Linked DNA regions of Arabidopsis thaliana. The protein of the gene in region 1 purifies or fractionates together with the protein of each later gene. This does not show direct contact. Each region holds a gene or a part of one and is shown in the gene's direction. Other genes may lie near its edges. The genes, in order: RbcX1 and LHCB5.

Region 1 (4,809 bases):
ACTGAAACTAAACATATCTAATAGATTTCACTCTTGGTATATCATCTCGTATTACAATCGACCCAAATCTGTCCTACCATCTAAACTCGTTCACTGAAATTAAACATTTTGTTTTTGTTATTTTATTTTAATAATACTTTAATTTAAAAGATATATAATTCAAATTAATTTAAAAATCTTCTTTCAAATGGTTATTTAATTGTTGTAAAAGTCATACATTATAATATTCTACATCCGTCTCTCCATCTAATCTAGTTCGGTAAATTAAACATTATTTTTTTTTTTTTGTTCTAATAATATTTTTATTAAAAGATTTATAATTCAATTCAATTTAAAGTTTTCTTTTGAAATGGTTATTTAATTTAATACATTTCATATATTATATATATTCTAAACATTTTTCGGTAAATATCCTAAATATTTTATAAATTTTAAATAACTATATTATTTATCTTTAATAAATTATAATGTTAATAAAATCCTAACATTTTTCCTTTTTAAAAGTAATTAGAATTGATGGATATATATTAGATAAGTAAATGCTAATAATTAAGAATATTAATTATTTGATAATAATAAATGTCAATAACATTTCTTGTAAATAAGTTCCAACTTGAAGATTTATTTGTTAAAATGGCAGCGAAAATGTATATGTAGAAGATGGAGATCATATGTTGGTGGTTGCTATTAGATGTAAAACATAACGTTGTACTGTGAACTATATGCCATGTATTTCTCCTCCACAAAATCTATTCTCTGGAAATTAACCTAAATTTTTAAATATCTGTATTTTGCCTCCTTTTCATTCTATTTTGTTTGATACAAACGATTGTGGTTTGTAATGTTAAAATTAGGAATGTTATTGAATGATATGTATATTTCATAAAAATAATAATAATAAAAGTAGGATGAATAGTAAAATTCCAAGGCATTTCATAATTTACCCATTACATGGTCAAAATTTATCAATATTTTAAAATAATAATAATCATCCAATCAAGATTTTGGGAATAGAATATCTTAAGAACTTAGTATAATTACATATATATATATATATTCCCTTTTAAATGTATCAAAAACAAACTAAGAACATACAAGGAATTTGATGTAGTACTATACAATTTACATGCAAACAGATGTAGTACTATTTGATGACAAAAAAAAAAAAAAAGATGTAGTACTATTTTATCTTTTCATCGGAATAATTCGGTCATGAAGCTATTAATTGGTTTTAATGAGAATTTATTATAACAGTTGTTGCCACACTGTCGAAATACTAACGCCTAACGGCTAGTTAAATAATTAACACGCGGTGAGAAGTGAGTGAGTTACACGAACCACTAAGAATCTAATATAGGAAGATAAGATAAGCATTTCACACGTGTGGTGTGGACAATTTAACAGTGTTAACACGCGCATGGCATGTGATCTAGAAATTAGAACATTAATTTTAGCGTTTTGACTTTGACCTTTGAATCACTAGGCGTAGGTATTTACACGTGTAACAATATAATTTTTTTCAATATGTGATGATCATGGGCCAACGTTTGTGGGTAAAGGTGTGGTGTTCGATCATGATCCACTTAAATTTACTGAATTTTAGAATTATAACAGCAGAAGGATATAAGTAATATACCAAACTTAACTATAATCTACCTCTCCTTGTCTATGTATACTAAATGTCTAACATGTAACACAAAGCTGTACAAAATTTTTAACTCTCAAATTTTTTGAAATAATGCAAAGCTGTAAAAATAGCTGTACGAGAAAACTGTACAATAAAACTGAAAATAAAAAAATTTGTAACGTTTTTGATAAAAGTTTTGTAAATGTATAACCATCAAAACTGTACAACTTCCAGCTTTGATAATGAATTACCATTCAAAGCTAGAGTTTCGAATTTTTTCATTGTATACAACCATTTGAACACAACTCTTTTCAATTATGCCATACATACATTTAGTTAATAAATTTTACCGATTAACTAGTACTGACAAAAGAAACAAAGAGTAATTATATTTTTTTGATAAATTGTTTTATTAGAAAAATACTTAAAATTGATAAAAATAAATAAACCCAATTGATATATTTGATATTACAATACCAGATATTGAAACAAATAAGACATGTTTTGTCTATATACTTCCAACTAGAAGATATTTATTTATCCATATCCTAGATATTTTAATGTGTGAATCTAATACATTCTCTTATATACGACCAAATAGTAAAACAATATGCCTCTCCTGCAATTTTTCTTCATCCAATATTTCTATGGAGTCATCTTCTTCACTCCTTCATCACTCTTACCTCTCTTACCTTAATCCAAAATTTGGAAAAAGACCTTTGGTTTCTTATCCATTAATGCAGAGTTCGCGAAAATGCAAACAAACTCGCATTTGTTCTAACAAGATGTATGTTCCCGGTATGTAACAATATGACATATTCATCACAAAATGTGGTTTTTATTCATACAGAATTGTTCTATATAGATTAATGCCTATTTTTCTAATGTTTTTTTTGTTATATAATTGAATTAGGCTTTGGAGAAGCTTCACCGGAGGCTAAGGCAGCGAAGCATCTTCATGACTTCTTTACTTACGTTGCAGTGAGGATAGTGTCTGCTCAGCTTGAGGTTGATTTGACGATTTATTTGATTTTTTAATTTAGGTGTTTTGATTAATAATAAGTATGATCTATATATTAATTAATGACAGAGTTATAATCCTGAGGCTTATATGGAGTTGAGAGAATTTTTAGATACAAACTCTGTAAGTGACGGTGATAAATTCTGCGCCACTCTCATGCGTCGCTCTTCACGTCACATGAACTTAGGTACCAAAAATAACACCTTTATATCAATAATTTGGTTATAAAATTCTAGTATGCGTTTTCTTTTTGTGAAACTTGTTAGTTGGAATTTTAATTCTAGGTTCTTAAAGTTATACATTATACTTTTTTAACAAATTTGGTTTTCTTCTAGTAATTTAGACGAAATCTCTTTACTTTTTCCAAACATTCTTTTCGTACATTGGAAGTTGAAACTTCTCACTAAAATAACTAGTTATGGGAGTTCGGTTTATATATTCGGTTTCAGTTATATCCATTCGCTTATCGTTTTTTTTTTTGTTTTAAAGTTTAGTATCCCTTCGGTTAATTTGAAAGTTCGGTTCGGTTTCGATTATTTCGGTTTTAAAATTTAGTATCCATCCGGTTATTTTGCTTTAAATATTTTTGGATATTTCGGTTATTTTCGGATATTTTTGGATATTTTCGGATATTTTGAGATATTTTTTTTATTATTTTTGAATATTTTTACTATTTTATATATATTCTCAAGTATTTTTAATTATCTAGTCTAGAAATAACTAATACTTTTGTAAATATATATTTATATTTTAGATATTTTTGGTTACTCAAAATATTTCGGTTGGTATCCATTCGGTTTCAGTTATTTCGATTATAAAATTTTGTATCCATTCAATTAGTTTCTGGTTATCGGTTCTGTTTACTTCGGTTTTGGTTTGGTACATCTGGTTCGGGTAATTTGCTCAGGCACAAAACTAACAGTATAACACAACTAATCTGTGCAATTCTTGTAAAGAAAAACTACTTCAAAAATTGCGTGACGAAATACAATTCCACCAATTTGCGGATTACTAACGAAATCACTTTGTAGATCCATAAGTTTCGTATATCTTTTAGGTATACATATACTTGATATGAGATAAGTAAACTAAAAACTTTGCTTTTTTTTTTTGGTATCATGGCCAATGCAACAAGCCCTTCGAATTTTAGAGGTAAGCTAAGCTTTTCTTTTCTCCTTTAATACATTTTCGAAAACACTTCTACATCTTTTCTCATCTCTACGTTTGTATTTACGGTTTGAAACCGTTTGTTACCGCTTAGGTACGGTCTGCTTATTGTAAAAACGATTTCGAATGGGATAATATGAAGCGCCTCGCCTTCAAGGTTCACTTCTATCTATCTCTCTCTCTCGTTGTACATATATGAATGCAAGTACGTAATGAAGCATCTTGTGTTTTTGAAAATGCAGAACGTAGATGATTCCAACACAAGACTCATGCGCGAGTACGTCTTGGAGACTAGCCATGTCGAAACCGATTCTGATAAGTGAAACCGAATATCTCTTCGAATCACATTCATATATATAGAGTCTTGAGAGTATACACACTTGAAACCGTTTGTACATACATATACATACCATTGTGCTATGTTACTCCCAGGTTTTGATACCTTAGTTTTTTTTACCTGCAAATCGATCAAAACCCGATTTTCTTTGCGGAGTTACCTAGAGACGGGAATGGATACCGGGAGAGGCATGGATTTTGCCCGACCCAAAATACGATTGAGCATAGTCTTCGATATTCTCTAACCTGTCATGAATCGAATAAGATGGGTTTAGGACCAACAAAAATGAAAGCTTCGTAGCTGAATAATTTAAAGTACAAAGTTTACTTTACCTATAGACATAGTTTACCATAATGCCTCCACTTTGACGAATACCTTTCTCTGATCGATCCGCCATCCAATTTATTCTTTCAACCATCTATGTAACGTATCAAAACATGAAAGCTTATCAATCTCAATCACTCTATTAACTAAAACCTATCGTCATTCACTGGACTTACCGCTCCATTTTGCAAGTGGAAGTTAGCAACAGAGTCTAAAGCTTTTCCTCTCTTCTTCTCTTGCAAGAGGTACCTATCAAAATCAAGAAAGACCATTGAAAGTTATGCCTATATGATTCATATATAACCATTACATCTCCTCCAAGAATGAACATAC
Region 2 (4,429 bases), 4.3 Mb from region 1:
TTTTAAAAATTAAACATGCATATTGGATGGAGTTTAATCTAGTTGAATCTAAAATTTAATAGTTTTACGAAAGATTTGTTATTAATTTTAGTTTTGAAATTGAGAATAAAACTAATGAGGCATCAATCCATTAAATATATGTAAGAACAAATCTTCATATATTATATAATATGTTTGGCAAATATATATAAAGTAACTGAAAACAAAGTGAAAATTTGAGAATAATTGTGGGTTTTTTAGTTTTATGTATTAAAAAAAATGTTGTTAATGAAAATCCATATTATTATGATATAAAACAAATTCATTATGAATATAAACATAACAGATATCTTCTATAAAATTCATTATGATATAAAACAAAAGATTAAAATAAAATAAACATAACAAATATCGCTTGTGAAATGAGATCTATATGACTATTGGGCTGAAGTTGGGCCTTGAGAAATAAGAGTGCGCCTTATAATATAGGCCCATTTAAAGTATGTATTGGCGAATCCACGCCGAAAGAGAGAGCGAAAGGGACGATGAGCAACAGAAGAAGAACCGGAGACGATGACAAAGGATTGCTCTGGAAACTTCCCCAAGTTAGGATCAGAGACATTGGAAAAGTTGGTCCAGCTTTTGGACTCGGTGTCGGTTGCGGATTTGGTTTCGGCGCCGGTCTTATCGGAGGTAAATTTCTAATTTCTCCCAATTTTGATCGCAGACTCGCGAATCGCTCGAAGCTATTTATAGATAGTTTTGGTTTAAGAGAGTAGAGATTGGTTTGATGAAAACAGGTGTAGGATTCGGACCAGGAGTTCCTGGATTACAATTTGGTCTTGGATTTGGAGCTGGTTGTGGAATTGGTGTAGGTTTTGGCTATGGTGTTGGAAGAGGAGCTGCTTATGATCACTCTCGTTCTTATTACAACGTTGGAAAACCATCTCTGTGAGTATTTGTCTGCAATTAGATTTTTAGTGATTAAGGATTTGAAGAAGAAGATGATGATTTTGACTTTGGTGATTTGTTGACAGGAATGAAGTTGATTCACTGATTGATGAACTTGTTGTTAGCACGAAGAAGCTTGTGAAAGCTACTACAAATGAAATCGACAAGTGGTTAAAATGATGAACTTTTAGGATTTGTTGCAGCTTCCAAGTAAATGGTAGTGTTTGGTTTGTTCTTAGATCAATAATGTAGATTTGGGGCTAGTGATAATCTCCTTTCTTTTTGTACAATTTTACGTATGGTATAAAGATGGATTCGCATAATTTAGGTGGCTGATTTATCATTCTGGTAATGTGTATGGTTTGAGTGCTGATTTTTGGTGCTATGAGTTGTTCTTTATGGCTCAACTTGGATCAATATGGAGGTTGAGTTTGAGATTTTCTCTCAGTTTAAGGAGGTAGAATAGTGCGTATAGTGGCACAGTGAGCTCAGCTCTAGGGCCAAAGGGCATAAATTCATTATAGCTCTTTCGATTCTACCGTAGTACTGTGTGTGAACCGGCACTGTGAACCAAGATGATTAAATTTTCGTATTCTCTATGTACATGATCCTGCGGCTCAATCGCTTCAGTTTCGATCCACATGATGTATATGTTATAGAATTGTGGGAAACTCCTTGTAGAAAGAGTATGTTCACGTCTAGGACTAGTCGGATGATTCGTTTCTCTTTTTGGTGTAATGAGTATGTTCATAACTGTTGATACAATGTGAAAATCTAACCGTTGAGCTTGGGAGTTTTACGTCTATATGAAAATTCCGGTTGTCGTCTACATTACGGTAGTAAACAGGACCACAGTGATTCCAAATGTCCCAAGGAATTTACTGAAAACCCCAACTAGGACTGTGAAAGGCTTGTGGATGACATTTAACAGTTGAGATTTTCATGTGTTTGAGATTCTTGTAACACATTTTGCTGTATAGGTGAAAGCTTAGCCACACAAAAGGAGAAACAGAGGATATGGATAAAATAAATTATCCAACAAAAACCAATCTAAAAGCCACATCAGCATCCACAACCAATCAGAGGACAGAATCATATTTCACATTTTCAATCCAGACCAATCAAAATCCTGAACGAATCCTACTCTCCACCTTATAGGAGCAGTTTCGTCTCTTCCTCCTTCTTTCACTTAGCTCTTCCTAGTGTTAAACCAGAGTAAAGCTTGAAACTTTGGACTAAAAGAATGGCGTCTTTGGGTGTGTCGGAAATGCTTGGTACTCCCCTTAACTTCAGGGCAGTTTCAAGATCGTCTGCTCCGTTGGCATCAAGCCCATCCACGTTCAAGACTGTTGCTCTCTTCTCTAAGAAAAAGCCAGCTCCTGCTAAGTCCAAGGCTGTCTCTGAGACTAGCGATGAGCTCGCCAAGTGGTATGGTATGTGTCTTCTAAATCCCTTTTATAATCATTTCTTGCTCTGTTTCTTTGTGAATGTGTTTGTAATTGTGACTCTTATGCAGGTCCTGACAGGAGAATTTTCTTGCCTGATGGTCTTTTGGATAGATCAGAGATCCCAGAGTACTTAAACGGTGAAGTTGCTGGAGAGTAAGACACTTTTTCATGTCTCTCTTTGTATGTATGCCTACTTTTGGATTCTGTGCTTAAGGTTTATTGGTCTGAATCTGAATTTGCAGTTATGGTTATGACCCATTTGGTCTTGGAAAGAAGCCTGAGAACTTTGCTAAGTAAGTAGATTCTTTTATCCTAAACCTTTTGTGTTTGCTTTGAGCTATATCTATCGAATTTGTCATTAAGATTGGTTCTTTAATGAATGTGGTTGTAGATACCAAGCTTTTGAATTGATCCATGCGAGATGGGCTATGTTAGGAGCAGCTGGTTTCATCATTCCTGAAGCTTTAAACAAATATGGCGCTAACTGTGGCCCTGAAGCTGTCTGGTTTAAGGTTCTTGCCTACGTCTAATCTTTATTTACATTCAGACTTAGATTCTTTAGCAAAGCAAGAATGTGTTGATGTGATGAGATGGTTCTTTTTGGAATACTGATTGCAGACTGGTGCTTTGCTTCTTGATGGAAACACATTGAACTACTTTGGCAAGAACATCCCTATCAACCTTGTTCTCGCCGTAGTTGCTGAGGTTGTTCTCCTCGGTGGAGCCGAGTACTACAGAATCACCAACGGATTGGTACATTACTCTCTAGTCTCTACATTTAGCTATTACTCATGGGAAAATGACTAAACTTGAAATGCAAATATTTGGTAGGATTTCGAGGACAAGCTACACCCAGGAGGTCCATTTGATCCTCTAGGCCTTGCTAAGGACCCTGAGCAAGGAGCTCTTCTCAAAGTCAAAGAGATCAAGAACGGGAGATTAGCCATGTTTGCGATGCTCGGTTTCTTTATCCAAGCGTATGTTACCGGAGAAGGTCCTGTTGAGAACCTTGCAAAGCATCTCAGTGATCCTTTTGGAAACAACTTGCTTACCGTCATCGCTGGAACTGCCGAGAGAGCTCCCACTCTCTAAGCCATTTCTACTTTTTTTAAGAGCTTCCAAAATGTACACTTTGTTCGATTGGAACTCCTTTTGACAATGTTAAAAAAACTTCCATCTGAATCTTCTTGATATATTTCAAATTTTCAATGGTGCTTTATCATGCTTCTAAGGATATACATAGTCACCCATTGGTTTAATATTTGTTGTTACCAAGAACGCTCTGTCACAATTTAGTCATACATTGCGATTTTATCACTAGTGGCGAGTATGGTAAAAAGTTTCACAACTAATATTGTGATGGAATTTGGGACTATATAAGTTAGTCGAGAGATGTGATCCGTTGAACAATATTAAGTAGCAGAAGATCAAATAGCAATGAGCAGTAGCAGAATATTTTCACAACTAATTAATCATTCTTACATTGTAAAGAACTAGTATTACTCACTCTCAACAATTGCATGTCTCATACAGTAATACCGATGTGTCATAAAAATGTGAATTTTGCTTCGATTGCAAAACACAAATTAGTGTTTTCACTCTGTGAGCTTTGAAGTTGCAGAAATCACAACCCCAATTGGATTCTAAACTCTAGCTAGGCATGTACATTTGCTTCGATTCAAAATAAGAATGTTTTCACTGTCAGATCAAAGGTTCAATAAGTGATAACCATTTTAAGCAAATCAAGCATTTATATTGCTTGATATTTTGTCACATCTAACCAACATTTAACAATTACATTTACTTTTAACAAGTAGGTCGTCTCTACTTCCGACCACCGTCGGGATTAGAACTCGTCCTCTGGTGTAGTCGTCAGATTCCATGATCTATGTTTTTGTAAGGCCTCAGCCCGAGGCCCATTAAAGGGGTTTTGATTATTAATATTAGTATTATTTAAAAAAAAAAAAAATTAAATCTAAATCTGAACTCATCTTTATAAACCCAAACCCTCGTTTAATTTGTAAAACTAACACATCAAGTGTTGGAACTCG

Evidence for each region.
Region 2: the proteins of RbcX1 (region 1) and LHCB5 purify together in Arabidopsis thaliana (affinity purification with mass spectrometry, with the first as the bait; one study listed by BioGRID). This does not show direct contact.

Annotation. Positions count from the first base shown.
Region 1 is NC_003075.7:2,116,029-2,120,837, reverse strand, and holds RbcX1 (Chaperonin-like RbcX protein), read left to right. Parts: upstream 1-2,220; 5' UTR 2,221-2,274; coding exon 2,275-2,425; intron 2,426-2,540; coding exon 2,541-2,635; intron 2,636-2,717; coding exon 2,718-2,835; intron 2,836-3,783; coding exon 3,784-3,800; intron 3,801-3,909; coding exon 3,910-3,972; intron 3,973-4,057; coding exon 4,058-4,138; 3' UTR 4,139-4,285; downstream 4,286-4,809. Other genes in the region: AT4G04320 (malonyl-CoA decarboxylase family protein), read right to left, coding at 4,313-4,397, 4,485-4,570, 4,653-4,725. UniProt on the Arabidopsis thaliana protein: Chaperone involved in RuBisCO assembly process.
Region 2 is NC_003075.7:6,406,027-6,410,455, forward strand, and holds LHCB5 (light harvesting complex of photosystem II 5), read left to right. Parts: upstream 1-1,980; 5' UTR 1,981-2,173; coding exon 2,174-2,363; intron 2,364-2,446; coding exon 2,447-2,531; intron 2,532-2,620; coding exon 2,621-2,671; intron 2,672-2,769; coding exon 2,770-2,890; intron 2,891-2,996; coding exon 2,997-3,131; intron 3,132-3,209; coding exon 3,210-3,470; 3' UTR 3,471-3,823; downstream 3,824-4,429. Other genes in the region: AT4G10330 (glycine-rich protein), read left to right, coding at 525-672, 780-930, 1,017-1,110. UniProt on the Arabidopsis thaliana protein: The light-harvesting complex (LHC) functions as a light receptor, it captures and delivers excitation energy to photosystems with which it is closely associated.